Styela clava: one gene and its partner. The protein of the gene in region 2 interacts with the protein of the main gene of each other region in a pairwise test. Links are inferred from orthologs where the notes say so. Each region holds a gene or a part of one and is shown on either strand. Other genes may lie near its edges. The genes, in order: peroxisomal biogenesis factor 3-like and peroxisomal membrane protein PEX16-like.

Region 1 (16,126 bases), on a different chromosome or scaffold from region 2:
GTCGAAATTTCAACAGGCAGTTTCCCGTAAAGCCGGAGTCTTTCGATAATGTATAATATCGTAATTAGGTATAAGCACATCCTTGAAATGTTGATGTAAATATGCTTTGTATGCATATTTGATATATGATCCCGACCTCTCCCGTCGAGTAAAATTTAATTAAAAATAAATTGCCATTAGTGTCGAGATGGAATTTTCAATTGCTTTTAACATTGACCGTATGTAATTGGACTGGGCGCAACGTATTCATTTCAGGTATAACAATATAGACTTTATATTTGAAAGTGGGAAACCTGGGTTTTCTCGTGTCAGAATAAAGAGTCACTTAGTTGATTTAATATGCATGGAACAAATGTCCGCAGAAGTGTAGGCAGACGAACGACGCAGTATTAGTACGCTTGTTGCATCTCGTGTAAACGGCCTTTCGTTGAACAACGTTAAGCTAGCGTGTCAGTGACAAAGGCGGAAGAGGCATTTTGCCGTTGTGATTTTTGTGAAGGCGGAATTAGGCTCAGTGACAAGTCATCCTGCTCGTTTTCAAGGTTGACACATAGGATAAAGTGCCGGTTACAACAACGGTCGTATGCAGGTTTTGTTTGTTATGAGGTTCAATATAATTGTTGATCGATTAGAAATGTGATCGAAAATTAAAATTTCGAATATTCTAGTGGCAGCGATATTATATTCAATGTATGTACATCCTATCTAGGGGCACAAGTCTCATTTAACCCAGTCAATATTGTTATTTTTTTAATATTTTTAGAGAGTGAAAAGAACTGAAGTTCCGTGACTGAGTAGAATTTAGTTGAATAAACCTCCCCGTTTATAGGCTGCACAGTGTCTCGCCAAGTAATATAACTTGATTGTTACCCTTACTTCGCAGACTACCCCGTGTAGTTCATTATATAAGTCAAGGCGCTGAACAACTAAATATATAACGATAACAGTTGCGCGAATTCAGCTATATTCATAATATTTTTTGAGGAAATAACTACATTAAATACAAGAATGGACTCGTCTGTTAGTGTTTGCAGGATGAAAGACATTGTGCGTCAACTCAACATCGAGAAAGACATCAAGCGTGAACCTGTTTCCACTGTGTCAAGTGACTTAATGGAATATTGTCAAGTACGTTCAATGTATTAGTGCTATTTTACAAATAAACAATGAGTCAGACGTGTACGTCATTTGTCCCAAAAGAATTCATATATATTTAAAATCGTCGGAATCGAACCGTGTTATTGACAATCTAAGAAAAATATTTTATCCAATTCGTATAATTTTTTAATAGACATTATTTTTCATTTAACATCTGAAAATTTCCTCAATTTAGCAGTAACAATAACGCTCATGTTACGGTGTCATTCGTTTTGTTGTAAAAGGGAGAGTTGTACAAATAATTCGTCTTAAAAATTCTTCTTGTTTATTATGTTATTACCCCTGACAATGGAACAATATCATGGTCGTCAAAAAACAATAACATGATTCGATATAAATGTTTGATTCAATATCATAGTTGAATTATGCCAGTCAGATACAGTCATTTTTCAGTTTCAGTTCCAGGATGTTTCATACCACTGAATCCAGACGTAAGATCCCAGTCTCATTCTAAAAAAATGAACTTTCTTTACGATTTTCCAATTCACATTGCAATCATCGAATACCTTCGCGATCCCGCCGCAAAAACTAAATAGATTGACTATTTTCTCAAGGGACGTTCACTCGTGTACATTTTTGGACACTTAAATCGATATTTCCAATGCCTTTCCTAATTATAATTTTTTAGTTCTGCCGACTAAGTGTAATTCTCATTGTTATTGTCCACATATTGAACCTATTCCAGTGTAATGGATTAATTCTGTTAATTGTCCACCATAAATATTTTCTAGTATATATCTGAAACCATCTGCAATGTTTAAATGTCTTCGGGAAATTTAAACAACAATAGCAACAGTCTTTTTAAAATTGTTCCTTATTACAAAATAAGTAATCGTATTGCACGTTAGTGCGTGCCTGGTTCAAATGCGGGTATGTTCATAATACGGCAGAAAGGGGAGACACATCAGATTAGTAGTTTCATCGAAATTATTAGTGTGAAGTGTCATTACCGAAGTGTAAGTGCCATGAAATGTGTTTATTTAAGCGTAATTTCGCAAACCACACTTGGCGCGTGTCCCTTTCTTGCTCACAGTTCAAACAAACAGCCTCGTAAAAAAGGCAAAAATAATTCATATATATATGATAATTTGTGAAAAATATTTATTTTCAGAAACACTTTCACGAAGATTTTCTGGTTTCCCAGCAATCACCAAATCCTTTCAAGAAGGGGAAAAAAGACTCCTGTACAGTCATGTGATATTTTTTCTTACTGAACCACCTATCAACAAGTTATTGGAAAAGACGCTTGCACGTACATTTTAATTCATCATTCAAGCTAAAGATTTTATAAGTTTATAAACTCAAAATATATCATGCATCGTACGAACCTACCTGAATTTGTAATGACATTGGCTGATTCAATATGTGAATTGATGTCGTCATATACCTGACGAACCCATATTTGAAATTTTGAACATGTAGTACGCATTCATGAAATTTTCCTGACTTTTTGAAGCTATATGAGTGCACCAGAATGCAACGAGTTATTTATTTATCATCCATGATTCACTATGGGACATTAGCACATATTATGTTGATCTTCACACATTTTTTGGCGTGGAAGAGTTCCCAAACCAAATATAAACTGCAAGTATTCACAATCCCTGCAGTTTGCCCCAACATATGTCTATTAGAGTTAGGCCTTTGCATCAGAGTGTCACTGTTTCCGTATCGAGTGCTGTAGAAAAGTGTGTTTTAAAATATGTAAGAAAACTTTTGTATTTACGTCGTCACTCCGTCAACATTATTCTGGTTTCAAATATTATATCTGTGAAGATGAAAAAGCAGACGTCGACCAGAGTGGAAATTGGTGTGACACCAGACTAGACTTTACTCATAGCGTTGATTCCACCATAGTTCTGGATAATTTTACATGAATGTATTTTTGTAGCACTTGAAAGTATTGCGCGATTCGGCGAGTGGCAAAAATTGTGACGCAGCAGCTCATAATACTCCCTTTGTGTTCAAACAGCCCTCTTACGAGGAGGCCCATGTACTGCATTGGTTTTCATATTGCCCATGTGGAATAATGTTATTATGAAGAATCGTCTGTAGTAATACGGAGTTTTAAATTTTGAATATGTATTTGTACCCGACTATATCTTGTTAACAGGTTACAAATTTTGCAAATGTATTTGTACGTGGTACCCTGAAAATAATTACCGGTACCGTAACATTTTCTTATATATATATATAACTGTTCCCCAGAATACTTTTTCCATTGCACTTGTATTTTCATCTCAGCTTTCGTGCTATGAGACCATGTTTAAACTGTAAATTTTTGTTGGCTTAAATATTACTCACTTATTGCAGAACTCTATATCGTGGCCTGATTATATATATCAGTATAACAGCTATTTAAACACTTGGCAAATGTAAAGACGCATACAGGGTTGCCAGACCCCAGCGATCAAAAAAAGCCAAATCAAGACATAAAAAAAGCCAGAAAAAGCCAACAATTTTACTAAGTACAAAAGCCCCATGATTTGTCAGATTTTAAGCCCTTGGCAATGTACTGATGATGATATAGAGCCATTAGTTCATTCAGTGAGGCACACGAATGGAAAGTAAAGTTCCTATACAACTGCAGAAAGTAAAACAAATATCAAGCGAACAGCACTATTTTACCATTCAATATATACAATACAGAGTGCCGCTTCAGTCTGTCAGTATGTAATATACCTACATGTTTCTACTTAAACTTGTGATATACCTTAAAAAATTCTCTCTATATCGTACTCTACTATTGAAAATTTTTTCACTTTCAAAAGTTATAAACCATCAATTTTATTAAAAAATTATCTAACCCCCTGCCGCTCACTGATATCTTATTCAGTAATTTTAGCGTAGTTAATCACATCGTTACTGCAATTGCAGAATTAAACTGAAGCTCACATAAACCATATCAGGCATAATGAAAATTAAGTTATACAACTATTTTTTGGAAACAGAACGTAAAACTGACAAATAACACGCAAAACTGTAAAAACGAGGCAATGTTTACAATCCTGCTTGAACATCTGTTTGAGCAGCTGCAGAAACTGCAATTATTTCTTATTGGGTATGGTTAAGAGTCAATGTAACAAACAAGGGAATCGATGCTCCAGGAAATCCTAATGTTAAGTAGCTAAGTACAGGTAATAGACTATTGTTCAGTTGTTACACACTAAATATTTTATTTCATAGACACTAGAATAGACTTGAAAAAAGCCAAAAAAAACGCCAAAAAGCCAAACGGAAATTCTGACGCCAAACGCGTTTGAAAAAAGCCAAAAATGGCAAATTTGGCGTTAAAAAAGCCAATATGGCAACCCTGGACGCATATTTGGTCGAATTATTGACGTTCAACCCGTCCTTGAAGCGTGAAAGTATGACGTAGTAGGTCAAGTAGGTACGTTGGCAGTTGGCACCGAATTTATTTTATCCTGGATCGACCTCGCCGAACCAAAAATGATCGACAAATATAATTTAAAAATATATATTAGTTCCAATGCTCAATTTTTTTTTCATTGGAGGTAGCAAGAGAAATTAATTGCATCAATTAAAACAAATCAATTGCATATTAAGCATTAAATAAATTACTAAAATTTGCACATGCGCTTGCTAGTCCTTCTAAAAAGGAAAAGCGTGATTATGAAGCTGAAAGTCACAATGACAAGTTTCCTTTGAAAAACAAGCATTTTTTCATATCATCGCACAGTGAATTATTAGAAAAAATTATAAAATTGCAATATTTGAAGAAAAAAAGTTAACGAGTATATTTGGCCCGGATAACAATGGCATAGGAAGACAAAAGCAGGGCTATGAAGTGGTAGTTTAAAACTCCTGGAGCCCGAGTCGTAAATTCCATTTTTAACAGCGATAATAAGTTTAAAGCATTAGAATTTACTGATATCTCCATAGACAAATGGGATCAAAATTTGATTTTCTTGGAGTTTGGAGCTGAAGTTGGAAGTCAAAATTTTTTTCATCATAAAATAATTTAAAGTAGCTTTTTTGGAGTGAATGCACGATATTTTTTACCTATAGCGATTTTCTAGGAAGGTTTTTTAGGTCACAACACCATTTCTTGTTAATTTGTCAATCTCAAATTCAGACATGTCCAGGAGATCACGTAATACTTCTTTTGTGTGCTGTCCTAGTGTAGGTGGAGGCAGAATTTTTGGATATTCATAGTTGCTAAACTTGACTGCTGGAGCAGTGACTTTGCATCCTTTTCCTGCAGTTGGGTGGTCAAATTCTAACACTCTGTTTGTGTGTAACACATGAGGATCTGAAAACACCTGTTCCATATTGTTGACTGGTCCATAGGGAAAAGTACTGTCTTCAAATATAAACAACCAATCTTCACAGTCTTTATCTAAAAATGATTTCTTCAAAATAGGAAGCAAGGATTCTCGATTCCTAACCCTTTTTGCATTATCAGCAAACCTTGGATCAGTCGAAACATGCTCAAGCTTCATTTTATCACATAGATCATTGAACTGTTTATTAGTTGTTGCACCAACAGTGACATATTTACCATCTTTTGTTTTAAAAGATTGATAGGGTACAATAGATGCATGAGCCGTTCCCCATCTTTTTGCTTCAATTCCAGCATTCAGATAGCTTGATGAGATATTGACTAAAGTAGCAATTTGAGATGACAATAAATCACAATCAATTTTTTGTCCCAAACCAGTCTCCCTTCTTTTCATTAAAGCAGCAAGAATAGCCCCTTGGCCATATAAACCAGTACACAGATCAGTCATTGCCACCCCAGATTTACAAGGCTCACCATCCTCTGGTCCAGTAATATAATTCAGGCCACCATAAGATGCAGCTATAACATCATAACCAGGACGATGGGCGTATGGTCCTTCTGGACCGAAACCACTGATTGAACAATACACTAAACCTGGATTAATTTTCTTCAACTTATCATACCCAAGACCGATTTTGTCCATTTTCCCAGGCACATAATTCTCCACAAATACATCACTATCTTTTACAAGGTCTGTGATTATTTTGACACCTTCTTTACGTTTCAAGTCTACAACAACAGAGCGCTTATTTCTATTGACTGAAAGAAAGTAAGCGCTCTCATTTCCACAGAACGGTGGCCCCCATGATCTTGTATCATCGCCATCTATGGGTTTTTCAATTTTGATGACATCGGCTCCCATGTCTCCGAGGACCATAGTCATGAAAGGTCCAGCTAAGACTCTGGACAAATCTATGACCCTGATTCCTGACAGGAGTGAACTTGTCTTTTCAAGTATTGTCATGATTAGCTATTTTTATTGCACAAACTGTCATCTGTTGAAATAGAAACAAATTAAATTTTTTTTTGAAAATCAAAACATTCTATAATTTATATTCATAAAATAATTTTCTTGTATTAAATTGTCTAGTTAAATGATTTTTCATAATTCTATCAATGAGAAAGTAATTACATAGCATAAAAAAGCAGAACACCCTATAAAAAACATATGATATTCTTATATTCAAATTCTCTGTTTAAACTTAAAAACAGATAATGAGCATCCTGACCTTTAATAAGAGAGTCATGGAAAAAAATACAAAAAAAAAATTTTGTTTATATGTTGTAGTTAGTCATCAGTGTTATGATATTGGTCACATATTCAACAACTGATAGTATCTGTAAAAGACTGATATATATTGGCAGAAAACTTCGTGAGCATGGGATTCGTCAACACTTTACGAATAAAATTTTCATGTGAAATTGCATGTACATGAGAATTTAGCATTGGCAATACTTTGGCCAATGGAAGAAAGTCTGAGTTAGTACGAATGATTGGAGTGATATCACTCACCAACGCTTTGCTGTGAGTACCCAAGGAATCAATGATAGAACCATCAATTATTTTGCAAAATTCTTGGAAGGATTTGAAAATGCAACTTTCAAAGACTTGCATGCAGTCATTAGAGTCAAATATATCCCACATTTCATTGATTAATTGTCTTTGTAAATCAAGATCAACAGAGGCCCCAAAATTTACATTTGCTTCATTAGGTAACAAAAGATCAAGTATATTATTTGAATCATTTTCAGAGCTTTTGACGTGGAATGAAAAACTACCATGTTGCCTAATTTGATTATGAATGCTTTTTAAGACTGATTCAATATCTGCACCTCGAACTCTACATTGAAGAGGCATAGATTCTGTCAAATCTTGTGAAATTTTTGTAAATTCATTAATAATACATTCAAGTCCATTACCCAACACAAATTCATGAGAAATTGATAAGAACCATCGTTGGATAACATCATTGATAGGTGGTGACTGGTCTGTAAGAGTACTGGCGTAAACTTTTGCAGCAAGATGATTAAGCTGTAAGCGAATTATAACAATTGAAAGAGTCAAGATGTAAATGGAAATTGACACTTTTGCAAATACAACCACTTTAAGTTCATTCCAGAGTTCAAGTTTTCTCTCTGCAGAAACTTCAGTCTTCAATGAATCTAGAATTGCTTCAGTATCAATTTGTTGCAGTATATTATCTTTTAGCGTGTTCGCTACAGCCTGGGCAATGGCAAAACAATGTTCTTGAGTTTTTTCAAAATGCTGTTGTTTTCTTAGTTCCTCCAAATATCTCTTTTCTTCTTGCACCATCCAATCTTTAATTTTATATTGTGCATATTTCACAGTTCCTACAACTCCTCCAACGAGTACTCCAGCAAATATGAATTTACGGCGATGTCTGCGAAGGAAGCCGCAAATCCGTCCAGGCATATCCATATTTCCCTTATATTGTTTTATTGCAGGATAGATTTATACGAAATAAATAAAATACCGGTACTGAAATAGGAAGACAAGGTAATTCAAAACTGGTATGCAAGAGTGGATCTGTATCGTATCTACGTCTGTCTGTACGGTACCGTACCAATATTGGCGTATTGACTAAGAATTCTAAACAACACGCTACCACTTTATGACCAATGTGGCCTGCGAATGTCATGAATGAAGGTCTGTGATACCTTCCAACTATCGATACCTCAACCCAGGGGTCACCAAATTTTTTTTGTCCGAGGGTCAGGTATCGGACTATCGGTATGACCGTAAATATATACTACTACGGTATGACTCAAACCAATGACATTAAACAACATGATGCGCAACTCCGGCATTTTTGTCCGAAGATCGTATTCGATAGCACGCTCCAATGCACATACTTGACGAGACGAAAACGAGCGGATGTGTGCTGCTTTCAAGGCGTAGCACGAATGGTGTTCGTGCCTGCTTTGACAGTTGTTGTCGATTTTAATGATATTTTTGAAAGTTGGGGTAAAAAGAAATCGGTAAAAGGTAAGGTGAATACTATTGTTGTATATCACACCCGGGCATCGCACTGTTAAGTACATGTGGGAAAGCTAGCCTTTGTCAAATACTACGAAGTTATTAATTCAGTACGGTACGTAGTTGCCCATTTGCCGAAATTACATATTTACTTACTCCTTATGGTTTCAAATAGTTCATGCACCTCCAGTTAGATTTTTTTAATCAGTGAGGATATATACTCATTGTTGATTGCTGCTCATTGTAACATACTATTACGCATTCACTTTTATTTGCGTATTTAATCAAAGTGTTAACAAGTTCACCTAACATTTCACTCATACCGGTCTATATTGTATAGTCTGATTTCTCAAGTATTTGGAGCCACGAATGCTTGTAATTTTCTGACTAAACCCTTTTATTAGTTGGTTTATTTTCCAAAATTCAGTAAAATATTTTTTAAATAAAACATGAAATATTGGATTTATTAGCTTTTCCATTCTGAATCATATAGACTGCTTTATTTATTCTTAACGAAAATTAATAAATCTCCTCTCTTTCTTCAGATGTGAAAGTTGTGGACAAACCTGTCTAAGCATTGTGAGACTCTTGCAGCACAAGAGGCAATAGCAGAAATAGTAAGTATATCAATCAAGAAATTAAGCCGACATAAAGCAAAACTTTCAACTATTCGTCTAATCTCAATTTCCTATTATTTATTCACAGGACAACTATAGCAGACGTGGAGATATCAGAAGTCTGGCGACATATCAGTGACAGTGTGATTCCAAGAAATATAATGCAATTGAAAATAGAAAATTGCAATAGAAAAACAACCTATGGAGGCATGCAAAGACATTTGACCATCCGGTAGAGTTGTGTATGGCCCCCACATCCTGCAGGGCTTGAGGAAAATAACTAAAAATTCCAAAGCGTAAGATTGCATAAGCGGTCTTATTTGTAAAAAGGCACAAAACACGCCAGACATACTTAAAACAGCTTTGGAAATAAGGATTACGGGTACCTCACTGCACCTGTGTTATATTTGGTTCATCAACTTTTGGTAGTACTATAGAAGAAATTCCGAAAGGGGTATAATCATCATTCATGATAAAATACTATAATATATTTTTTGAACAACTTCAATCTAGACCAGGGATCTCAAACTCGCGGCCCCAGAGAACTTCCAGTGCGGCCCTCGAACGCTTAACAATAATTGTAATAGTATTTTGGAAGTTTTTTTTTTTATCTAAATGTAATAGATTTTTCAAACCTTCTAAAGTGAAATTGATTATTCACACAGAAAACAATTTACTGAAAGTAGTTTTGGAATATTAATTTTTTTTTGTCCACATTTTGACCCAATTAAGAATACACATCAAGCTAGCAAAAGAATACTTGAATAAAACACTTGAGTAATTAAATTAAACGCAAAGTACACGAAGAAGGTGGCATTTTCGAAGAAAATGGGAGTTGTAACATTTCTGCTCTTCACAAAATTCTGAAGCACATTGTTTAATTTGTCATATTTCCATCAATACAATCAAAAAACACAATAAGCTCAGCAGTCAATATGACAAATTCGAAGACCAACTTCGAACAGAAAATTTCCATGTGTTTGTATATTAATATAATTATACAACGACTTAGTTACTAAAAATCAATATCCATAATAATTCAAGCAATCCTATGCCACGCAATGTAGTGCGAAATGTCTTGTCGAAAAAATCTGTCATTTGTTTTTTTACTGATCTATACATGAAATGATAAAAGTAACTTTTTTGCATTACTGGAATTAATTAAACATTCGTAAAGATCCAGATAAACCCATGATCATGTGGCCTCGTTAGTTAGAGTTGGTACTATAAAATCATTTCAGACTGGCCTTAGTATGCTGGTGACACAAAAAAGATGCCAAACGCCAGGACGAATGTAATTATTAAAACATCGAGTTTATACTGTGGTATTTTTGTTAATTTTAGGTTCACATATTTAGATTAAGTTATTTTTAGTGTATGTATTATTCTTTCCTTATTCAAAGCTTGTTCAAAAATGATTTTGATGGTTGTACATAGAATTTTACGATTTTTTATAATAAATACTGTAACTTGCAAATGTTGCAATAATAGTCGAATGCAAATATTAATATGTAATTGCATTTGAAATTGAAGAAAATAATAAAACTTAATCCAACTGTTTAGTTGCATCACAATATATGTCACAAACTAAAACTATCTTAAAAATATCTTTTAAGTATACATTATCAAAAACTGTTTGCGGCTCTTTTTACAATTTTCAAAATGCAATGCGGCTCTCGAAAACCCATGAGTTTGACACCACTGATCTATTCCAGACGATTCAAGCATTGCTTTGGGAAATTATATCACTTCAATTAAATTGAAATAATCTCGCTATATTAAATACAAAATCGTTGCTATCATAGAGGTAAACCAATTCAGCCACTCGAAATATATTGGCCTTCACACAGCAATGGAGGCAAAATTGAGAGTTCATGAGCTATGAACATTTGTTCTTTTCTTTGTCTTGAACTTTCCATACTCCACAGCCCCTATTAATTTTTTTTAATTTTAATTACCATGTGATGGTCATACATATCTTTAACTTGTATTTTCTGTCATGATGTATTATCTCAATGTGCCAAACTATTAATTTGCGTGCATATTTTGCTTCCAGATGACATAAATGTATTGTCATGTTTATTACCTCAGCTTGGAGTATTGACAAGAAAAAGGTTTCAACTCATTGTTATAATCAGAATTCACAATCAATAGGAATTATAAACAGCCAACAATCAGTGAGAATTATATGCGAAATCCCTCAGAATAAATTTGTCTAAAATCGGAGGAAGGCAAAAAATATAGGTAGTTTCCATTCACACAAGCATTTCAAGAAGACTTGCTCGAGCCAAACTAAATGAGCATCGTCAGGTGATCGGTAAGGCTGCAAGTTGATTTCAGCCCTGCAACCTCCTGCATAGAAGATAATATTAATTAGTGGGCTATGAGCTAAATTCCTAAATTTAAACAAACCTATCTACGATGCATTATGTACCAGCAATGTTACCTACGATTAACTGAATATGTAATATGTCTAATAAATTCACCTACAAAAGCAAGTTCGATAGGTGCAAACTTTGTGTTATGGAATTGTATCGCAGCACAGTTTTGTATGACACCCTCTTTAAATGAAATTTCAATGATTAAGCGCAAACATTAAAATTACTAACTTTGAACTTTGTCATTATCTGCAAAATGTTCCACACAAATCTTTCCGCTATCGCGTTTGTAATCTTTTCTGATAAAAAAAAAAGTCTATGATGTCCAGAATTGCTCTTTACAGCTTGCCTGTTATTCCAGCTTTCCAAGTAAGCAAAACTTCTTAGATATAGAGATTATTTTGTTTCGTTACAGGCGCAAAAAGGCAGGTACTACACGTAAAAAAGACGCCGAGTAGCAAAAGCGAGCGGAAAACGGACGCGAAAGGCGACGAGAAATATGTGCATTGGAGCGTATCATGAAATACAATGTTTTGCCTGTAGTCTTATGGAGTGACGTCAGAGTTGCCTATCATGTTGTTTAATGTCATTGCTCAAACCATATTTACGCTCAAACTGTGTTGAAACGAGCCGGACAAATACGGTATTTTTGTCAATGCAATACAATAAATTCACAAAAGTGGGGAAATGGTATTCAACAATATAAATTCTACATTTCTGAAGTATTGGATATTTAATTCTATATCGCAGAATATGGACCAAGAACATCATAACAAAACAAATAGGCTGTACCAGTGGTTCCCAACCTTCTACCCTGGCGGACCGGTAAAATTAAATGAAATGTACTCGTCGCGGACCGGCAAAAATTTAAATGAGTAGGCCTAGAACAGAAAATAATTACATATATTTGCGTAAAGTCGTGCAATCACTATGATTTTAGAAAAAAAAGGTACACTTAAAAACATTTCACATGAGGAAAACCTATCATATAATGTGTCGGTCAAAAATCGAAATGGGTGGAATATAAATAATAACATATGTATTGCGTAATAAAATGCAGTGCTGGGCACCCATTATGCGTAAACAAGGCACACATCTCACATAAAGAACATTTAAATGCCAAATCATGTAGGCCAGGGGTTCTCAAACTTTTGGTGTTGCGGAGCCCTTGAAAAGTTGAATATTATTCGCGGAGCCCCAAAATAAATGTTAAAATTGTTACTTTCAGATTAATATTCCTGGGCAAGTTAAAAGTACTTTACTTATTTAAAATGCTGAACCTTTTTTAATAGGATTAACACAAGCCATAAATGAATCTGAATTTCATACTAAAGCTGTAAATTTGACACTTGACGAACATATTAATAAATTAGGGGTCGAATCTTTTCTCTTTTGACATTTTTGGAAGACTTAACAGGCCGCTAATAACGTGCGCGATTTTATTTTGTTACAATCGCCGATTTTTTTCGTCAGCATGGCGTGTTTTGAACATCTTTACGCCGGTGTTTATTCTCCTTAAATCAAAAATTTCCCTCGGCATATACATGTATTGTTACACAATGACGACGTTAATTCCTTTTTTGTTCTCGTGGGAAATTATGAGTTCAATGTGAAAAACATGTTACCATATAATAGTCATCTGCGACGAAATGTTAAAAATTATAATTAATAAAGAGATAAATCCGCAACTCAAATTTCTTGATTAAAAAACGGCATTCTAAAATATTAAAACTGAAACTTTAAATGGAAGATCACACGTTTGGCTTCAGCAGACTCACCTCAGATTGAAAACGCTTTTATAGACATTGTAAATCACAAAATTTGGTGTTATGTTAGGTTTTCGTCGTAGTGACTGCGAAATCGAAACACAGTCCACGATGTACCTTTTTTCATTCTGAAACTACCGACGGAGCCGAATGCAATAAAATAAATTCTAATTGTTCGTATTTTGCCCAGACATTGTGATTTTTTAAACGGCGATATCCTGCTTAAAAATAATCTCAGGTGCGAAAGAACAAATCAAGTTTGACAAATCCCAAGATCGCGAAAATACGACTCCACTTTATTTATTGTTGGCAGTTTATTACATATTTTATGTTATTTTAGAATAGTATTCTTTCATTTAAGTAATACTAATACTAATCTCGAATCAAACTTGAGTAACGATGATCACAATTACATTATAACGAAGAGACACGTTGAATGCTCGCATCGGTCATGGATTGTATATTTAAGCAACAGAAATCTCGTTATCCGTTTTTTTAATGGCGAAGAATGTTGCGCGGAAATTTCCGATTCCAATTTTGAACCACCTCCCTCTTAAGAATCCTGGCTGCGCTCCTGCTCATAAATAATGTCATTTTTAATTCAGCCTCTTTACCATATTTCGAGGCTGTATTGTTGTCAGATTTTATCAACGCTGTTATTGCTTCTTTCAACAGTTACAAAATTTTGAGTCAGTATTTCGAAGAGTAATCGAATAGCTCGCGGAGCCCCTGGGTTTCTCTCGCGGAGCCCTGGGGCTCCGTACGGAGCACTTTGAGAACCTATGATGTAGGCTACAAACACAATTAACTCCAGTGAGAATTTTGCTACTGTTTCATTTCCAATACAGGATTGCAAGCGAGGCATCAAAAAAAAAGGTTTTGCAACACATAGCTCTGCAGCGGCCCACAGTCAATTTATTTGCTTCTTTTTTAAAGGTAAAAGCAACTGGTTGAAAATGCGGACAACAGTTTGATTGCTCGATTACTCAGCGATGGGTATTCGATATCAAGAGAGCTCAAAAATTAATTGTGATAATGATTCTTTTATAAATCTGGACTGTAAAGTAGAGGTTTCACCATATCAATCCCTCTGCAGTTGATCGTTCACCCAAACAAAATTAATTTATATTACAATGATAAAGTCGTTGCTAACTTGACACCATCAGGCTCAAAATCCTGCTGTGCATCACCCAAAAAATATCTTAGCGGCCCCCGCTTTTGTTGCGCGTCTCGTGACCACCTGCAGGCAGAGCCGTTATATAATGGCTCTGCTGCAGGGTCGCAACAAGTTCATATCTCGCTGGGTGTCATATAGTGAAGCCCTGGTATATTATAATGTTCTTGAAAGTTTTTATGGTTTAAACAAAGAAATATTTTTATTTGGATGGTAATATTAATCAAGAAAAGCATGCAGAACGGAAAAAGCACGCATGCTGATTTTCAGGTTTCTGAATCTTGCGAGAAAAGGCGCGGCGGAGTGGCTCAACGGGCTAAGCGTTAGGAATACGCTCGCCACCGCACCTCTAATTACTCTGCGTGGGTTCGCAGGTTCGAATCCCATGCAGGGATGGTTATGTGCGAGAGGATTGCTGGACTCCTCGCCGTCGTTGGGTGGTTCACGTAACCGCTGGTCGGTTACGGCTTCCTCCACCACCAAGTCCATGCTTCTGAAAACAAAACGATACAGTAAAACCAATCCCATACCCGACTTGGAATGGTAACCGGACGAGAGGCCGTGGTTCGCCAAATGGATAAGCCGTCTTATCGGCTTTCCTCTCCCCCGGGATAAATATGTAAATCCTATCCTGTCCTAAAAAGCGAAAAGTGTGATTACTCGGCGCCAAGACGTCGCCCGGCCATACCGCACCTATCAAACAGCAATATGACGACGAAGAGAAATTGCGTGATAAACCAACCGCGGACCGGCGGTTGGCAACCACTGGGCTATACCGTACCAGACAACTATCCTGAGGTTAGCTGTTAGCAAATCAATTGCGGTCATGAATATATCCGCATGAAAGCAGTAGGGCCTACAAAAGTTAATTAATGTGACTTGTGAAATTGGGGCAATACTGAGCGATTACAGTAGCCTACTATTAGCGCAAAATGCACGTTCGACGTTCATTTTAGCAAAAGAAACGTACACAGCAACAATTTCGCCGAAAGCACGCGTCACGAGTGCATCCTGCGCAGAAAACGTTGTGTGATCGTTGCGTTGCCTATTTTATCACAGCTATTTCCAGACTAATTTTTGATTACTGGTTACTGCAATTAAACTACAACTCCTAAGAAGGCCAAATGATGATTGACTTATTTGATTCATACCTAAATTTCCGAAACACAACCAAAACCTAACAAATAAGCTAGCATTTTAAATTGCGAAAACGAAGTATTGTTTACAACCACGGCTGAAAATCTAACTCTGAGTGACAAAAATGTCTGAGCGGATGCAAAAATGCCTATTGTTACGTCACTTTTAACATCTCGCTGATTGGCCAATGTTACAAAATTAACGAGGAAGTCGATGCTCGGCGAATCATCCCCTGCCGTAGAAAAATTTTCGCCATTTTTCGTGTTATCGCGGACCAGATGAAAGGACGCCAAGGGCCGGATCTGGCCCGCGGGGCGTAGTTTGGTGACCCCTGTGCCGAACCCGACCATTCGCCACCAACGGGTGCCTTCGTCATGCACGTTCATACATCTGTTTTAAATACACCCATTCTTGGCCGTGGTTGGTTGGTCTCTAATTTTTGGCTATTGAAAATGAACTGAAGCTCTTTAAAAAAAAAAATGACAGTTAAGCTATTTGATTTCCATCAAATTTTTCTAAACACAGCTGAAAACTGAATCATAACACGCAAAAATGAATTAATGTTTACAACCATGCTTGATATCTGCTTCAATGA
Region 2 (17,404 bases):
TTGACTGGAGTCTGAACTTGACATTTTCAAAAAGTTATGTTGTTGCTTTATTCGATAATTAGATTCTGTTCAGAATTGTGTTATTCATGTGATGTCGATAATTCTATATTATCGAAAACTTTATGTAACCTCCCTTTCAACGTGACCCGGTAGCACAAGGTGTCACATAGAGAAAACTAACAAATCGAAAACGCATCTCCCAAATCCTTGTCCAAACACAACCAATTGTTGAAAACTTGTAATGAAATTGTAATTCGAAAAATTGATAGCATAACATGAAATGCTCAGCAATACACAAACATCACAATAGATGGAAATGAAAGATGGAAGACGGTTTTCTAAAACAAAATAACATGTCTTAGAACACTTATAAAACTAAATAATACCAAATTCAGCAATGATCCAAATATAAATAACATACCGATAATATTTATGACACCGGGTAAGAAAACTTTGTGAATCCACGAGAATACTTCACAATCTGTTAACAATGACAATATTTAATACACATACATCAGTGAACTTCAAATTATGCAACTTAAAGTACTAGCTTTCTTACCCAAAAATCATTGCATAATACATTCTGGAAACATCAGTACACTTTCTTCACAGTAACAAATGTACGGCACAATATCTTAACACCAAGGGCAACAACCCAATAAATCCAGTTACTAACTAATTTAGATGTCTAAGTCATCTACAAGATAAACACAATAAACAGCAATAATTAAATCACAATAATACCAACACAAAGAAACTTTAAAAACTTGACTTGGCAGCAAAACAGCAGCAAAGTATGGTGCAATATCCATTAATGGCGGCGAACTCGACTTAACAGCGCCTACACGTGGCAACAATATTATTGCCAAACAATAATACTTGGATCCTGTGGATCGTGACGTAACACTAATTACACAGTAGGCTATTCCATCACCCTGTATTGTATGTTACAAATTTTTCTTTTGTTGCAGGAGGAAGCGACTTTGCTTTTCAGCGTCTGTCAAAATTGGTTCCATCGCAAATGTTTCAATAATTCAGATGTGGCAATGACAAGGGAACAGTAAAGACTATTAAAAAAACAGGACGTTACGTGTGAGTGCCTTGACTGCTACCAGGCCCAGGACACCCATCACGACTCCATTAATTTGTACATCCCAGCAGATGGAACCTAGAAGCCGTCGACTGGCAGATTACTCTTGATTCCGAATGCTCGGGAATCAGCCCAATACCTAGGGTACCAAAAACTTTATAATAAATAAATAAACAATAAAAACATAAATGACAAGCACAAATTACAGTTCAATGAAAGCAGAAACCTTTATACTCGATTGCTCTACAAAAAGAAATCAAATTATTACAAATCTAAATTTGCTTCTCACAAAGGCAACATCAAGGCAGTGTGGAAAACAATGAACTTATTGGTAAAAATAAAACAAATTCTTGTCCTTTGATTGGACTTGATTGCAGTAATACACAAATTGCAAATAAATTTAATGAACACTTTTCCCAAGTGGCACAAAGCTTGCTCGACTGTATGCCACAACCAGCTGGCTGTGACAAAAATTACATTTCATATCTTGGGAAGCAAGAATCCTCATCCATGTTCTTGAAGCCAACTACATCATTAGAAATAAAAAATATCATACGCGATATGAAGCCCAAGTCAAGTTTTGGAATCGATGGTATTCCATTCAAAATATTGAAATATGTTCCAGAACATATTATTGATATCCTGACATATATATTTAATCTTTCGCTATCTAGTGGGTTATTCATTGAAAGCTTCAAGACATCCAGAGAAATATTTATCTGTCAAATGTATTGTTATGCTGATTATGGAGTCGAAATAAACTTATACTTATACAGTGTTTCCATGAAGCAGGAGGGACTCATCTGTGACGTCTGTCGAAATTGGTTTCATCGCAAATGTTTCAATAATTCAGATGTGGCAATGACAAAGGAACAGTACAGGCTATTAAAAAAAAGGGGCGTAACGTTTGAGTGGAAGTGCCTGGACTGCTGCCAGGCCCATGACACCCATCATGACTTCAACCCGATTGTTGTATCCCAGCAGATGGAACCTAGCCGTCGGCTGGTAGACTACTCAGGTGGTGAGTTGGCTTACAACTAATATCAGTCGGCACTAAGTAGGGGAAGGTGGGGCACGTTGGGACATGGGGCACAGTGGAAAATCAGCTCTCACACTGATACTATATCCGCAATCCTGTCCGCGGTTCGATGTTTCAATCCGCCCTTCGGTGAGTTACAACGTCCCCGCGAACGGACAGGCAGCGCGGCGCAAGCTATGGGGTGAAATTGGTTTTGGGAGGTTGAAACTAAAATTTCATCATCCCAGTTTTTTCTTTTTCTACTTTAGCCTTTCCAACATGACAAAACAGCGTCAGATATTTTTCAGCTATAGTGCATTATAAAATATTCATAACGTTGGCGAGTCGATGTGCCTTCCGAATTCCGCCGTGGGATAGTCTGAAAATATTTGTTTCCTATGGGGAACAATGGACCGGGGTTCAGTGGGACATGTCCTACAGGGCACAATTCGACAGTGTTTGATACAATGGGTGCTTAGAGACCTAGAGATGCGGTATATTTTATGTAATATTAGGGTTTCTTTCGACCCATGGCCCAATATGGAATATATTCGAGAATCAATAATATTTCCAGATTTAGATCCGAGGAAGGAAATAATCAAATTTGTTTGCAAAATTTTTTGTCAAAATATCTGAACCTTCAGTTAAACATTGATTTTAAAAATATTATATCTTCAAATTTGAAGTCTCCCTGTTCTTTAGACGATTATGCTGAATAATTGCTTATTTTTAAGGCCACACTTCGTTGAATTTCGACAGACTGACCCATTGTGCCCCAGGGTCTGTCCGAATGTGCCCCACAAGTGGGGTACAGTGGGACTTTTGACAGACGTTTTTCGAAGCATTTTGGTAGTAAGATGTATGTCGCAGGGAAATTTCTTAGTCGCTGAATAAAAACTACATTTACCCCTCTATGCATTAGTTCCGCAAACTTAAGTGAATATGCAGAATTAACGGCTCAAAATATGCAAAAGAAAAAAGTGTCCCAACCTTCCCCACTTTCCCCTAAATGCTATACAACTCTTGAGTCTGCGTTTTGCAAAGCGATGTCTTCTCCTCGAGCATCGATATCGCAGAGCGAGCGACTGGTGAGTTGTCTGCCTCTCGTTGCTCGGTAGTCGAGTTGTCTTAACCTCGAGCATCGATGACGTCACGTCGCAGAGCGTTTGCTCGACTAGTGAGTTGACGGCCTGTCGGGCGACTGTCGTAGGCGAGTTTAGACTACTGCAACCATAGACTGAGCTCACATTCATAAATATTTAGGTGTTACTGTGAAGTATAAAGGTTTTAATATATTTAAAGGTGCTCATTCAAAACATTTAATACCAATAAAGTTCAAAAAATTAAACGAACACAGTCCTATAAGTCAGGTAGTTTCAATATCATAAAAACGCAATAACCTTCACGGGGAAGACTTCACCTAAGTCTTCGGTTGAGGGCGAAGCGCACTTTAGTTGATACTCCCGTAGTGGGTGTACCAGGTTGGGGTTAGGCCATAATTTTTTCCGATTTCCCTTGATTTGGTTATATTACGAGTTCGGGGACTGTTTGTGTTAACCAAGTGAATATCCCCCCTTCCCATAAGTTTCAGTCCCTTTACACAATTTGGTGTAAAGTAGACGAACAAAATTAGTTACCTCCATATTGGTGCACACACTTCTGGCGCTCCTTTTAGTTCTATTTATATGTATAGCTCGGGTACTACGGAGTCAGGCCACGAAATGATATTGAGACCGCCACGCAAAATACTTGAAGCGATATGATATGGCCAAATACAGGTAAATGGGGGAGCGATTCCGATAAGCCATGTTGGTTAATGTTCTGTGGTCGTTGCTGTGGTCGTTTTGACTGATACGTTGGCAATATTATCAAACCACGATTTAACGCAAATTGATAAAACAGCCAAAATTAGCACCACGGTGGGCTGGGATATTTTAGCGTTTGGTACATAATTTGAAATTAATCAAGATCAGGAGAATATGCAAGAAAAATCGACGCAAATAATTGATTTCTGTCAAATCCCATAGGAAATGCATTACGCGCCTTGTCAAAGTTGGAAGTCTATTGTCAAAACGAGAGAGGCTTCAAATTGTCCCGCGGAAATGAGAGAGAAGTTCCGTGTCCGATAACAAAACGATCCATTTCGGCCCAACAAAATGGCGACATCCGGTGGCGATTTTGTACATACAGGCATTTTCCGTCGGTTCGCTTTTAGTGCGTTTCCCTTGTTTTACGGATAAGTTAACTCTTACTGGTGCCATTGTACTATATGCTACCGTATCCGGTACCGGTATATTACATCTTTTAAATGTACGGTATGAGTGCAAGAATGGTTATCAGGTAATACCCAAAAATTTTATTTTGATCTATCGGAGACGGAAAAATTGGAAAAATAAGTTTATCATTTCTGCTGTTTTCGAGTTCACCAAATGATTATAAAGCACATCAGGGTTCTGTGATTACTACAGCACTAAGAATTTTTTTTGCTATTGGTCTAGAACTGGGTGGTCCAAGGTTCTGCCTCGGGGGCCACAAAATCATTTTTGCATTGTTCGCGGGTCGCAATAGTGCCAAGAATAGGTAAACAGTGCAATACAGAACAAACACTTTTATTGTGCAAACACATTGATCATTACTTGTCATTTATCAGGCTAAAACATGCGAAGACCACCAAGAAACTCTCTAAAACTTGCAAAAAGTATTTCTACCGTACCGGTACCGTACGGTACCGGTACTTGGCGGCGGTGTGGCGCATCTTGCTAAGCATTAGGAATACGCTCGCCACCGCATCTCTGATTACCCTTCGTGGTAGTCTATTGCAGGTTCGATCCCATGCGGGGATTATCATGTGCAAGAGGGTTTCTGGACTCCTCGCCGCCGTATGGGGGTTCACGTAACCGCTGGTCGGTTACGGCTTCCTCCACCATCAAGTCCATGCTTCCTCCCAAAACAAATACCTGGATACTAATCCCATACCCTACCTGGATTGGTAACCGGACGAGAGGCCGGGGTTCGCCATAATATAATCAAGCCGTCTTATCGACTTTCCTCTCCCCGGGATAAATATGTAAATCGTATCTTATCCTACTGTTCTAGGGGTACCGGTACTGTATATCTACATTTAGTTTGAGATTTCAAACTCTTTATAATGGAGAAAGTGCTTTCGAACATCGATGGGATTCTCAGAGCAAAATCGCTTTTCTTTAGAAAATGTTCATTGCTGCAAGATTCTAAAAGGCTGTTTTAGATTATATCTTTTGTCACCAACACAACTTGCCGACATATCAAGCAATCATTGTGGTATTTTCCCTCATATATCAGTATATCCAGTTAAAAATCAGTTTGAATTGGTCTGCTTTTTTTCAAACTCATGTTTACAAATAACCTCAATTTGACTTTTTCCAAATGTGAGGAGTGTAATTACATAGGCATCATCATGTCATGACAGACTGAGTTTTTCGTAACAGTGTAACTCCCTCTGCTCTTGTCAATTACTGTATTATGATCTGCGTATAAGACTATGATTCAATACTGCAATATCTGAATATGGTACTAAGCTTTGTATTTCTGTATTTCAACCAATAGTAGTATAGTTCTGTAGTTTATAAATTATTCCTGCACATCAGTATAAGATAATAATTTATTGTCTATCCACGATATATACCATACCGCAGTACAGCACACTATCCAAATTCCAAGAATTTCCCTCCATTTGGTTCAATAAAACAATCACTCAACGTGTCTCACAAACGAGGGGCGTCTGGACCACGTCAGATGCATCATATCGCGCCATGCTTGATTCAATAATAATCTTAATTAATCGCGGCCGTCACATGACCAAAATTGCTGTTTTTTGCTAAAAACTCTCGAATGCAACGGTAAAAATTTTTTTCCTTTGGTAAATCGGTTGATTTTTTCCCAAGAAATTCAACGATGACGATATTAGATTGCGCTTTTTTGTAGTATTTTGGGCCACTTCATTTTACTGTATTATCACCGATATTGAGGGACAACAATGTCCAGATGTCTCCCAAAGGAGGGGTGTCTGATCATCTGTAAAATGGGTTTCTCTGAAACGGGACAATGTCACCCGATTTGTATAGTGTGCCGTACTGTACCGGTACTGACCATACCTATCAAACATTCTGACATTGCATATAGTTATAGTGAGCGGGTTATATTCTGTAATAATATCTGTATACAGGTATACCAACTATGCTAACGTTATATCTTGCATGATGTTTAGATAAATATGAATTAAAAACAATTTTTAAATTAGTCCATATATTTTGTGTCAAACGTCTGCTTGAAAAGTTGAGATGCAGACAAGGCGGAAACGCTCAACTAGAGGGGCAACAAAGTCTGCCAAGCCCACTCCGAAACCCACCAAAGGAACTAAACGAAAACTACAAAATGGAAAAGCAAATGGTGATGCAACTCCTTTGCCAAAAAGATTAAGGCATGCTGGTACTTCGGAAGAAAAACCTGAAATTGATGCAATTTCTTCATCAGCAATTGATGAAGAAATTAAAAATAAAGAAACAAAATCTAAAGAAATTCAAACTGAAGTTTGTGGAAGTGATTTGGGATCATCTACCCAAGACAATGTTACTCCTAAATCAAAACGGAGAAGAAGAAAGTCTTCCACAAGGGGAAGGAAAAAAGCAAAGCGGAAACCCTCAATTTTGGGGACAATATTTTCTCCCGTTTATAAATTTTTTGGTCAGGCTGTAGATGAGGAAAGTGACAAGGATACAAGTTCCAGTTCAACCGAAGAACTAGAGGAACAAGTACCTGAGGTTTCCTCGACAACGGATGAGTTACCGAGCGTGGAAGAAGAACAAGTCGATTCTACATCCAAAAATGATGACAGTGGTATGTTGTCTGCATTAGAGGAGCCAACGTCAATTCCACCAACTGACATACAAGTTGATAATTCGAGTGAAGAGTCACAAGATTCTACGGTTGATCTATCCTATCTACAGCCTGCTGCTGTAACTTCTACAGCAAATTATGACCCAGATTGGGAAGTGTTTGATCCGTTCTATTTCATCAAGCATTTACCTCCATTGACTGACGAGCAAAAGTGCAGGCAACCTGCTTTGCCACTCAAAACAAGGAGTTCTCCTGAGCTGTCATTAGTGTTAGATTTGGATGAAACGTTAGTGCATTGCAGCCTTACGGAACTACATGATGCTGATTTGACCTTCTCTGTTCTATTTCAAGGCGTCATGTATCAAGTGTATGTTCGTACTCGGCCGGATTTCAATGAATTTCTCGAAAGAATGTCCAAGTTTTATGAGATTATATTGTTTACTGCATCGAAAAAAGTGTACGCCAACAAGCTGCTGAATATGCTAGATGGCGAAAAGAAGCTGGTGAAACACAGATTATTTAGAGAGCATTGTGTCTGTGTGCAGGGCAACTACATAAAGGATCTGAATATCTTAGGTCGAGATCTCAGCAAAACTGTTATCGTTGACAACTCACCACAAGCATTTGCTTACCAGTTATCAAATGGCATTCCTATATTAAGCTGGTTTTCGGACAAGGCTGATTGTGAACTGCTTAAATTAGCACCATTCCTTGAATCATTAGCTACAACTGGTGGAGATGTGCGGCCAAAAGTGAAGCAGAAATTTCGGCTTCATGAACTGTTGCCTCCTTAACATGAGCATGTATGTGTTTTGTCTGTTGATATGCTACAGACAGTTTTTTTGAGAGTGTACAAATTGCTCACTAATTCTAGTACCAAGATGGCCTGAGATTTAAAATAAACATTGACATTTTTTATATAATATAAAAGCATTCAGTTTTATATTGGAAATATTTTATGTACCAAACACACGGTTTTGTGTGAACTGATAAGGCTGTGATATATATTATTATGGACTTTCGCTGGAGCGACATTATGGTGAATAAGCGAGATTTTTTTTATATTCTTTTAAAGATTCTTTTACGTTGATTTTTATTAGTGAAAGAAATTCTACAAATTAGTTTTTTATTCATATTTTTATGTTTAATGAAACTATAATATGATGGCGTGTTCTTACACTATTGCCAATCTTTCCCTTTTAGCAGAGAAACGTTAGCAATATATTTTTAATATTATTTACCATATTATAATCGTCCACCGCACGTTCTTTAGTAATTCTCACTCGTTGCTTTAATTTGAACTTTTTCTTTATATTATTGCTGCCAAATTATGCTCCGGAGAGTTTTGTTGAGACTATGTATGTATATTTTACAAACAGCTGCACTGATGCCAGTTCTTATCCCAATTTTCTCACATTGTCAGATCTTACCAAACTAATGTGTACATAAAACCAAATTGGTAATTCGAACATAAAATTATCCTATTTATCACATTCTTGATTTGACTATAAAGTGGCATTCTATATGATAGCAAGCTGAAAAATTTTTTCAACATGCATGAAAGGACAGTATTCTGCCACCGCTGGGTATAAAATTTCATCATACATATCAAACTGTTGCATGTTTATCATTTTCTGTATTTAGTATGTCATAATTTTACCAGCAGATACTAGAAATAACAGACATGCGACATTACCAATAAATGATTGATATGGTAAATAAATAGTGTGCAGAAGTGCATAAAGGGAAGTATTTTTCCAATCATAAATAAATTGGTATTTGGATTGCATGTTTGAATTTTCCTCTTTTGAACTAGTACTTTCTATACCTGTCTATTTTTAATCATAGCTTTAAAAAATAGACAAAAAAAATGGTTTTCAGTATTCTGTGTGGCTGGAATTTAAGTTTTGTACATCATGTTGTTAAGGATAGTATTGCTTACCCAATGTTTTCGTATGAATTATTTTTTGCCATTTTTGTAAAATTATTGGCATCCGATTCCAATCGTCTACTGAATGCAACAAAATATCCGCACAAATTGGCTGTTTGATTCAATTTAGTCCGCTTTTGGTAGTTGGTTAATTGGGTTTACTGCCATACTTGATCTGACTTGTTTATCATAACCACTTATTCTGCTCCTTAACATGATTGGACTATCACTAATCAACTACAACCATGTTTTGAGTGTTCTCATAATTCAGTATATTTTGCATATTTTTTTTCATAAGTTTTTACAAGAAATGCTGTATAAAATGCTGCCTTGTGTTATATTAAGTAAGGTGTCAATAATAAATGCATTATTCAAACCTGTAATTAACAATTATACTACAAAACTAATTTTTTGTTTCTTATTTTTATATTCCATCATGTATAATGCAGAAATTGTTTCTGCCAATAGAAAAATTTGCATTACAGAGCAATGACGTTGGTTCGGTAATGCATTGGACATTTAATGATGTTTGTAGGATCATTTGATACTTGAACTAAACCCTGTCTTCTGTTTTGTTGTGTTGTGGACTTGCTTCTACAGATGATTTATTATTTGTTCATTTGAATTTATTGGAAATACAGTGGAAACTCTACTTATGAAATTAATTCGTTCTGGAAGCCATTTCGTAAACAGAAAATTTCCTAAGTAGGAATGCATTTTAACATATAAATGCCCTCATCCGTTCTAAGCCGCCCCAAAACTCGGACATAATATTTGTATAAATTATAAATACTAGTTAAAACATGTAACAATTACACGTTATAAAAATAAACACTAAAACACGATTTTTTCGCTAACAACTGAAACTGAGTGAGATGCATTTTACGTACTCACAGGAAACAAACGGGCTAATGGAATGGCAGGAAGTTGCTAAACATCAGCCAGTGGCACAGCAGCTCAGGTGTGCCACTTTCAAACTTTATGGCAAGCAGGACGTTTTTAAGATTTTCGGCCTTTCGTATATAGAAGCATCTTTCGTTATTCGGAGCAGTATTTCTACGAAAAGACGTTACAAAACTTTAAAATTTCATATTCATGGTTTACCGTGAGTGGAGGTTCTACTGTATATCTGCTACAAAATCAAGATATGTCAGATTTTGTATTCCTAATTTTGTTTGTTTATGTATCAGTTAGCAATTGAGAATATTAAAAGAGCAACATCACATATTCTTTATGAATATTTCATGTATATATCTCTGTCTCTCTTATCTCTGCCATAAAACATACTATAATGATTGTAAAATAGGAAAATCATTTTACTAACATTTCTGACAGAGTATAAGACGAGAAGGGCATAAATCGGATAAAAAACTGAAGTTGTTGACATCATTGTCTTGAGAAGGTTGATAAATTCTCACACGATCAAAACTCTAGCGAACCCCAAATTGTTTGGCTTGAATTTCGTTGCAAAAACGAAAGAGAGTTTACAGAAGAATCAGTAATTTGCTCATCTGATTTTCTGAAGTGAATTGGAGTGTTTTGATACACATTAATTATGAATTTGTTGATAAAACTTAATTTTTTGATTTGGCTAGATACTACCACCCGTGTATGTCAATTTTGTTTTTAGACTCTGTATATTATGCCAGGTTGATGTTTCAAACCAGGGGTCTCAATGTTAATTATTGACTTATATCATGACAATATGTGTTTGTATCTTTCACTGAAGTGTAAAAGATAATTTAAAAAACTTAGCTATTTAAGCTATTCTTTTTATATCAAATTTCTGTGTTTCGTTACCACTCGATTGTTAAATAGTTTAATTTCAAGCAGTTTGACATTTTCTTTTGATTTTTTGAAATGTGATTTCTATTTAGGCTTTAAAAGGTCCAAAACGATCATTTCTGTTAGTTTTAAAACATGTCATAATCTGTCATTTGTTTTAGAATGCTCATCAATTCGTAATTCCTAATTTTATTCTGTTCTGTTCATCTATGTTGCAAAATTATTGTGCACCAGTGTTCAGGGTTACAATTTCATGCATTTAATTGATGTTCATAACAATACTACTAGCATTTGGTTGTAAATTTGTTGGTATTAATGTTATGTTGTACTGGTTTATAAAAAGCTTTTTGTACATATATTGCTGAAAATTAATACCATTGTAATTCTTTCTGTAGATTTCTATCTATGTTTCTAGTATCTAGTTGTAATTTGAATTACAAAGAGCAGGGTACCACGACCAGTGCTCTTAATAACATATGACATTTTGACAATTTATGACATGAAACAGTTTTGAATACTCTTCACTCAAAAGGTATGAATGAGTTAGTTATAAATAGTCATATATCGTGTTTTCCCAAAAATAAGGCCTATCCTGCTTTTTAAAAATGATTTTATTATAAGCTCTCCCATAAAATGAGACCTAGTTGACAGCGCAAAATTTTTTTGACCTAGTCGATGGCAAGAAATCTCTTCTACACGTTTCAAATGATTAATAATCTATGTCCAGCAGTTATTCGAAATAAAAACGTGTTATTTATAAGTGGATGGATATCGGTTTGTATTTATGAAAATCTCGTAATTGTCTACTTTGTTATTTGGTTTTTGATAAATGAAAATAAAAAAAAAACCTCAAAATAAGCCCTAGTGTTATCTTTCGAAAGAAAATTGAAATAAGACCCAGTCTTAATTTTAGGGTAACATTCATTTTTAGTTGAAAAATGAATTTCTGGCTGGAGACTGACATGGGAGTTAAATGTACTCATTGAAAATTGATCAGTCTCATAAGAATCACACAACTTGTATTTTACATCATAATGTAACTTTTGTTTGCTTAAATTTTCTTATTTGTAGCTTATGTTGACTGGAATTTTAGAGTAGTGTATACCTAACTACTCCTCATTTCCCTCTTGCTATTGTGTTCTTGGATTTGTATGTCTTTATTCTTAATTTGATATTTTATTCCAGTATGACGGCTCCCGCTGAATCTTCTGTTGTAGAATTGATACGAAAAGGTTTGGGGTTTGTCAATCGTCCCTTCCAGGAGGCCAAAGAAAATTATGTCAAGTATGTCACTGAAAATCCAGAAATGATAACTCAAGTATGTATATATACCAAAAATTTTCCATTAAACTGGAGATACCAGTAGCGTATCTATTTTGGGAATTCCAGATACTGATGATAAAAAAAAAATATTTAATTCCATGTCATGCTCACTGGAGTAAGAATAAGATGTATTGAATTTAAATAATATGCGAATAGATATTGGTATGTTAAAGTCATTTCAGATTGGAAATGAATTATCACAGGGTTCTTGAACACTGTGATATGCTATATTATCAAAATCGATATTAAAATTTCAATCTTGCCGCAAGATTTTAGAATTCTGTTAATTTCGTTAAAATGTAATATCTACCGGTATGTTTTTTTGCTCCAGGGCATATATGAATATGCAAACTCATTCCTTTAATATTGAGAATATAAAGCAATGCTTTATATATAAATAATAAATAAATAATGCCTGAGTGCTTAAATTATCAGTAGTCAATGACTTTTGAAAATTTAATACTGAACTATTAATTATTTCACCCTTAGTGGGACTTTCAAAAAATATTGTAATCATTTTCTTGATGTTGAACCTTTTTAATTCACAAAATTACTATCACCAGGGGTTAGAATTGTTACAGCAAGCTTTCAATTTACCGTAAATAATAAGACTTTATTATGAATTCATTCTGTGAATAACAGTTTTTCTCCAATTTGTTTTAATGAAAGCTGTTAAGTCTTGATTTATAATTTCACATTGTACATTGTTGTTGCTTCAAACTACACATGACTCATTTATTAGTCATTGGCTTTTCCAAGTTCTGCTTTTTGTGTTTGTAAATTCAAATCAACTTGTTTGAATTTTTGACATTCACCAACTTTAATACAAGCATGTTCGGTTTCGGTTCAGTCTCACTTTGTTTATTCAAAGCATGAAATTGAATCAAATATTTCAGCTCAGTTCAGAAAGTGTATGTCCAATAAGCCGACTTGTCCACTTTCTTCCATGAAGATAATCATGATATCCATCCTGAAAAGATTTTGGTTTGTCTTATGCTGGCGATTTTACATGACCATAACTTCCAACATAGGCTGAGTTAATGGTTTACGGTAGTCCAGTGGTGGGCCAAATTTTTGACTAGGGCCATTCCAAGAAATCAACTGTGATGTCACAGTTACTATTCCAATTCTTTATAATACTGTCATGGTGGCTGACATTGTTGAACCGAAGATGTGAAAAAAACATTACCTAATTTTATTTTAACGAGACATAATTTAGATATTTTAAATAAAGTTTAAAAATAAATCTGAATTTTGTATGTAGTAAAAAATTTTCACAACTTTCTTCAAGAACAGAAGACCGCACAAAATTCTTCAGTGGGTTGCATATGCCCAGCGGGCCGTAGTTACTCATTCTGTTTCCCTTACTGACAGCTTCATTGAAGAACTTTTGTGGACTGACAGCACTGGCATTGGCTATTTACTTGTTTTAATGATCATTGGATTTTTCAAGTATTGATTCCAATTACTGCTATCTATAAATTCTGTGTTTGAGTGTATACTGACCTTTCATGTTATTTTTAGATTGAAAAGACTGCAAGGTCTCTTTCGTATGCACTTGAATTTATTCCAAGAGATTATGATAACTCCATATTCATAACTGAATTATGTAAGTATTTTTTATTACTTAACCCTTATAAGGATGATTGATGTTTTGTATCAACTATTTTGAGTGGTAGCTTAGTGAGTAGTTAGATTTTGAACAATTACTGTTTTGAGGCCGTGGATCGTTTCATTTTGGAAATCATGGATATTTGTGAAGCGATACTTATAAATGACACACATTTCAAATGCATTTCAAATTGCAGTATTCGAGTGGGTCAAGTCTATCCATATTTTTTATCACCCCTTTTCTCTTGCCTCTTCTTGCCTGTCCCTATTTTCTGATACTATTAATAGCCTACATATAAAAGACTACATCCGTGCTTGGATTATTTTTTATGAACATAGTTATAAATAATGCAATCCTACGATTACCTATCATTATGTTATAAATTTGTCTTCACTTTTACATACTAGATAAGGCACTCCTGGTCCTGTAGTATGTGTGCCAGGTTAGGCTTAGGCCATAATTTTATTCCGATTTTCCTTATTTTTCGTTCTATTACGAGTTCGGGGACTGTCTGTGTTAGCCAAGTGAATATACCCCCTACCCATAGGTTACAGTCCCTTTACACAACTTGATGTAAAATAGGCAAACAAAATTAGTTACCTCCATGTTTGGTACACCCACTACTGGAGCGCCCTGGATAATTATATAATATATGTATATATTTCTGTAATTTGATATTTATTGCAACATATTTGGAATTTAACGATTCAACATGATTGTTAAAAAGTATGATAAGCAAATTTTCAATAGCAATCAAGGAAAATTCTCTCAAGAATTACCAAACGATCAGTGTTCCCTCTAAGGTGTGCGCGCGCACACAGCTTTCAGAGGAAGCGCACACGCATAGATTTACTGCACACAGACGTATTTCAATGTAATGTAACATTGTGCTCGGTTGGCAGATTGAGAAAGTTTGTTGTTAGCCCATCATTACCCGGTTAGAACGCCAAAATTTCTTCATTGGTTTTTGCACAAATATTAGTCATTTCCAAAAAAGTGCGCACACACCAAAATTTCTGCGCACACATACTACAAAAAATTAGAGGGAACATTGCATACGATTCATACATACATTATTTTGATTCAACATTATCCAGAAAAATTCAGTCATCTTATTTTTGTTGTAGTAGTAGTACAATTGATTATGATAAGTAATCTTAGAAAATTTAGAGTTTCAAGTTGTATAATTCAATTGCATTGGTACGAAATATTTTCTTCTTTTGTTCTGTAAAGTCAGATAGTAGTTGATCTAACAAATTGTACACTGTATCTAGGTCTGCATTTGCCATCTTACACACTGGCCAATCTGAACCAAACATAACTCTGTCTGCTCCAAATTTGTCCATGACATGTTGAACATGGTTTTTGAAATCTTCAGGCTTCCAATTTTGCAAGTCGCCTTCAGTCACCATACCTGTAAATAATGAAATTTTATTTTTATTTTCATGAATATGTTTGGTAATATCGTAGTATGGATACCAGGTAGGGTTCGTTTGGCCATAATTTTATTCCGATATTCTGAGTTCGGGGACTGTTTGTGTTAGCCAAGTGAATATACCCCCTACCCATAGACATTCCGTCCCTTTACACAACTTAATGTAAAGTAGGCCAACAAAATTAGTTACCTCAAGATTGACGCATAAATCTGGAACGCCATATGGTTAGCCATTAGCTTTGTTCAAGGAATGTAATTATGTTAGCAAATATCCCTTTAAATGTTTATTGCATTGTCATGGTACCCTAACTAGTTAGTCCATTTTCTTATTCCACATTTCTAGCTGTGAATCCGAGAAACATATTTATGAAAATACTAATAATTTTTCTAAAAGAAAACCTTCAGTTTATATTATCACAGATGACCTTGACCTTAGCTGTTCAAAGTTACATCATCATATTACATTAGTATAAACCAACTTATTTCGGCTTAATAATATATCTTTTGCCTTGGGCAATATTTTCAAATTAGAAGATGACTCACAAATTTGAAAGTTTTGCTTGAGTGATTCTGTGTATATCAGGATTACTAGTTAGATCTGATACTCAAAAGACTAATTTTCTTTTACATCCAGAATTATTTTGGGTAAAAGTAAAAATGCACATAAAATATACATGGAAGGTGTAGGATTTTCATTAAATCCAACAAGAAGCATGTTTTGACAGAAATCAATCTTTTTAAAATACTTAGGAAATAACTGTTATTATTTTTTCGTAACTTTTGCAACTTGCTGCTTCTTAGGATTCTCTATATTTTCCTATGTATTCGTTAAATATAATGTCATGCATATATTAATAATTACAAGTACAACTTACTAGTAAACACATTCAAGAAAATAGGGGACAATGGGGTTCACATTTTTAAATCACCTAAGCCAGGCCTGCACAACTCAAATAACCACAAAGGCTGCAAGCATAAATCTGAAGGCCCGGCCGGCCGCAAACTTTGCCACATACATATTTCACAAGATGAACTACAAATCAAAATAATATGGTGAAACAGTTAAATTTAATGAAACACTTTCATTACTGGGGAGCTTAAAAATATGAAGAATCTTATTTACTTGAGTAAAAACAAGGTACAGTATTTTTGCACATGTGATGGCACATATGTATTTAGTGGTTCATCTACCTTGAAAACCCACCGATCATTTTCAATATTTCTTTTTTATTAGAATTAGGTAGCCTATTGTGTGTTGCAGTATAAACTGACTGCAAAAAAATATTTTACTTTAAAATATTTTACTTTTTGTAAAATTGTCCCAAATATCTGTATGACAATTTATTCAGTTGTATCTACCATTATTAGATATTTCCACTGTAGGCTAGACAAACAATCCATTAAGTAGCAATAGATTCCTCTGTTGTACTTTTTTGACTGTTAAATTACATTTTTCTGCAAAATCTGCTCCAATTTATTTGAAATTTTACAGTAAATAGCAATATCTTTTGTGCGAGAATTTCTGCACCATTCGTAAATGAAGGAATTGTTTTTTAAGTTCTAAATTTGAATCAAAAAAGAAACTTCAGTTTCTTAAACTGCTAGTAAAAAATAATGGGGTTATTAATAGGTTGCTAATATGCACTAATGGGTGTGAGATTGTATACCGATATTGTTTTAAGCGTGATTCAGTCTGAATACTGAGATATCTAAATCAGGGTTTCCCAAACTGGGGGGCGAGATGTCAAGAGACGAGTTTTAGGGGTCGTGAAAGGCACACCAGTTTCACACAAAGTTCGATATTTATTGAAACTGGTGCAAAACATAAATGTCACGATTTCGAATATGCTCGGGGTAGCGGCGCGCTTGCATAACAATGCTGGCTTTGATTGTTAGACCCGAAAAGTGGCGTGTTTCCAAATAACTCACGGGCCGCACAGAAGCTTGCATAACAATGCCGGCTTCGATTGTTAGACCCGAAAAGTGGCGTGTTACCAAATAACTCGCGGGCCGCACAGAAGTATCTAGCGGGCCGCATGTGGCGCGCGGGCCATATGTTGTGCAGGCCTGACCCAAGCCTTTATTAATTAAGAATAATAATCAAGATATATGCAATGTCAATTTTACTTTGATAATGTTGAATAAGTATGTTTATATCCTTCTTGTAATCATTAGTTTGTCGATATCCCTTATTTTTTAAATTCAATTTCAAGTCTTTTAAATAAACTAAGTTTGCTTTCACTCAAATTGTTGTGAAGTCTGAGGGAAAAATATGAAGCGTGTTGCAGACTTGTGTTTCTAGATTCTGAATATTTGTGAATATGGCATAAAATATT

What was found.
Region 1: the proteins of peroxisomal membrane protein PEX16-like (region 2) and peroxisomal biogenesis factor 3-like interact in binary tests that used the Homo sapiens proteins (3 or more experiments, as listed by UniProt). The link is inferred for Styela clava from reciprocal best matches to the Homo sapiens genes PEX16 and PEX3.

What each region holds. Positions count from the first base shown.
Region 1 is NC_135263.1:8,800,732-8,816,857, reverse strand, and holds peroxisomal biogenesis factor 3-like, read right to left. Parts: upstream 8,000-16,126; 5' UTR 7,902-7,999; coding exon 6,783-7,901; 3' UTR 6,635-6,782; downstream 1-6,634. Other genes in the region: guanine nucleotide-binding protein subunit gamma-like, read left to right, coding at 1,009-1,128, 2,270-2,356; succinyl-CoA:glutarate CoA-transferase-like, read right to left, coding at 5,208-6,425. UniProt on the Homo sapiens protein: Involved in peroxisome biosynthesis and integrity. Assembles membrane vesicles before the matrix proteins are translocated. As a docking factor for PEX19, is necessary for the import of peroxisomal membrane proteins in the peroxisomes.
Region 2 is NC_135252.1:3,111,889-3,129,292, forward strand, and holds the start of peroxisomal membrane protein PEX16-like, read left to right. Parts: upstream 1-11,091; 5' UTR 11,092-11,230; intron 11,231-11,883; 5' UTR 11,884-11,884; coding exon 11,885-12,016; intron 12,017-13,545; coding exon 13,546-13,630; intron 13,631-14,290; exon of another isoform or gene 14,291-14,799; coding exon of another isoform or gene 14,800-15,047; intron 15,048-17,404. Other genes in the region: CTD small phosphatase-like protein 2, read left to right, coding at 6,428-7,777; L-fucono-1,5-lactonase-like, read right to left, coding at 14,800-15,047. UniProt on the Homo sapiens protein: Required for peroxisome membrane biogenesis. May play a role in early stages of peroxisome assembly. Can recruit other peroxisomal proteins, such as PEX3 and PMP34, to de novo peroxisomes derived from the endoplasmic reticulum (ER).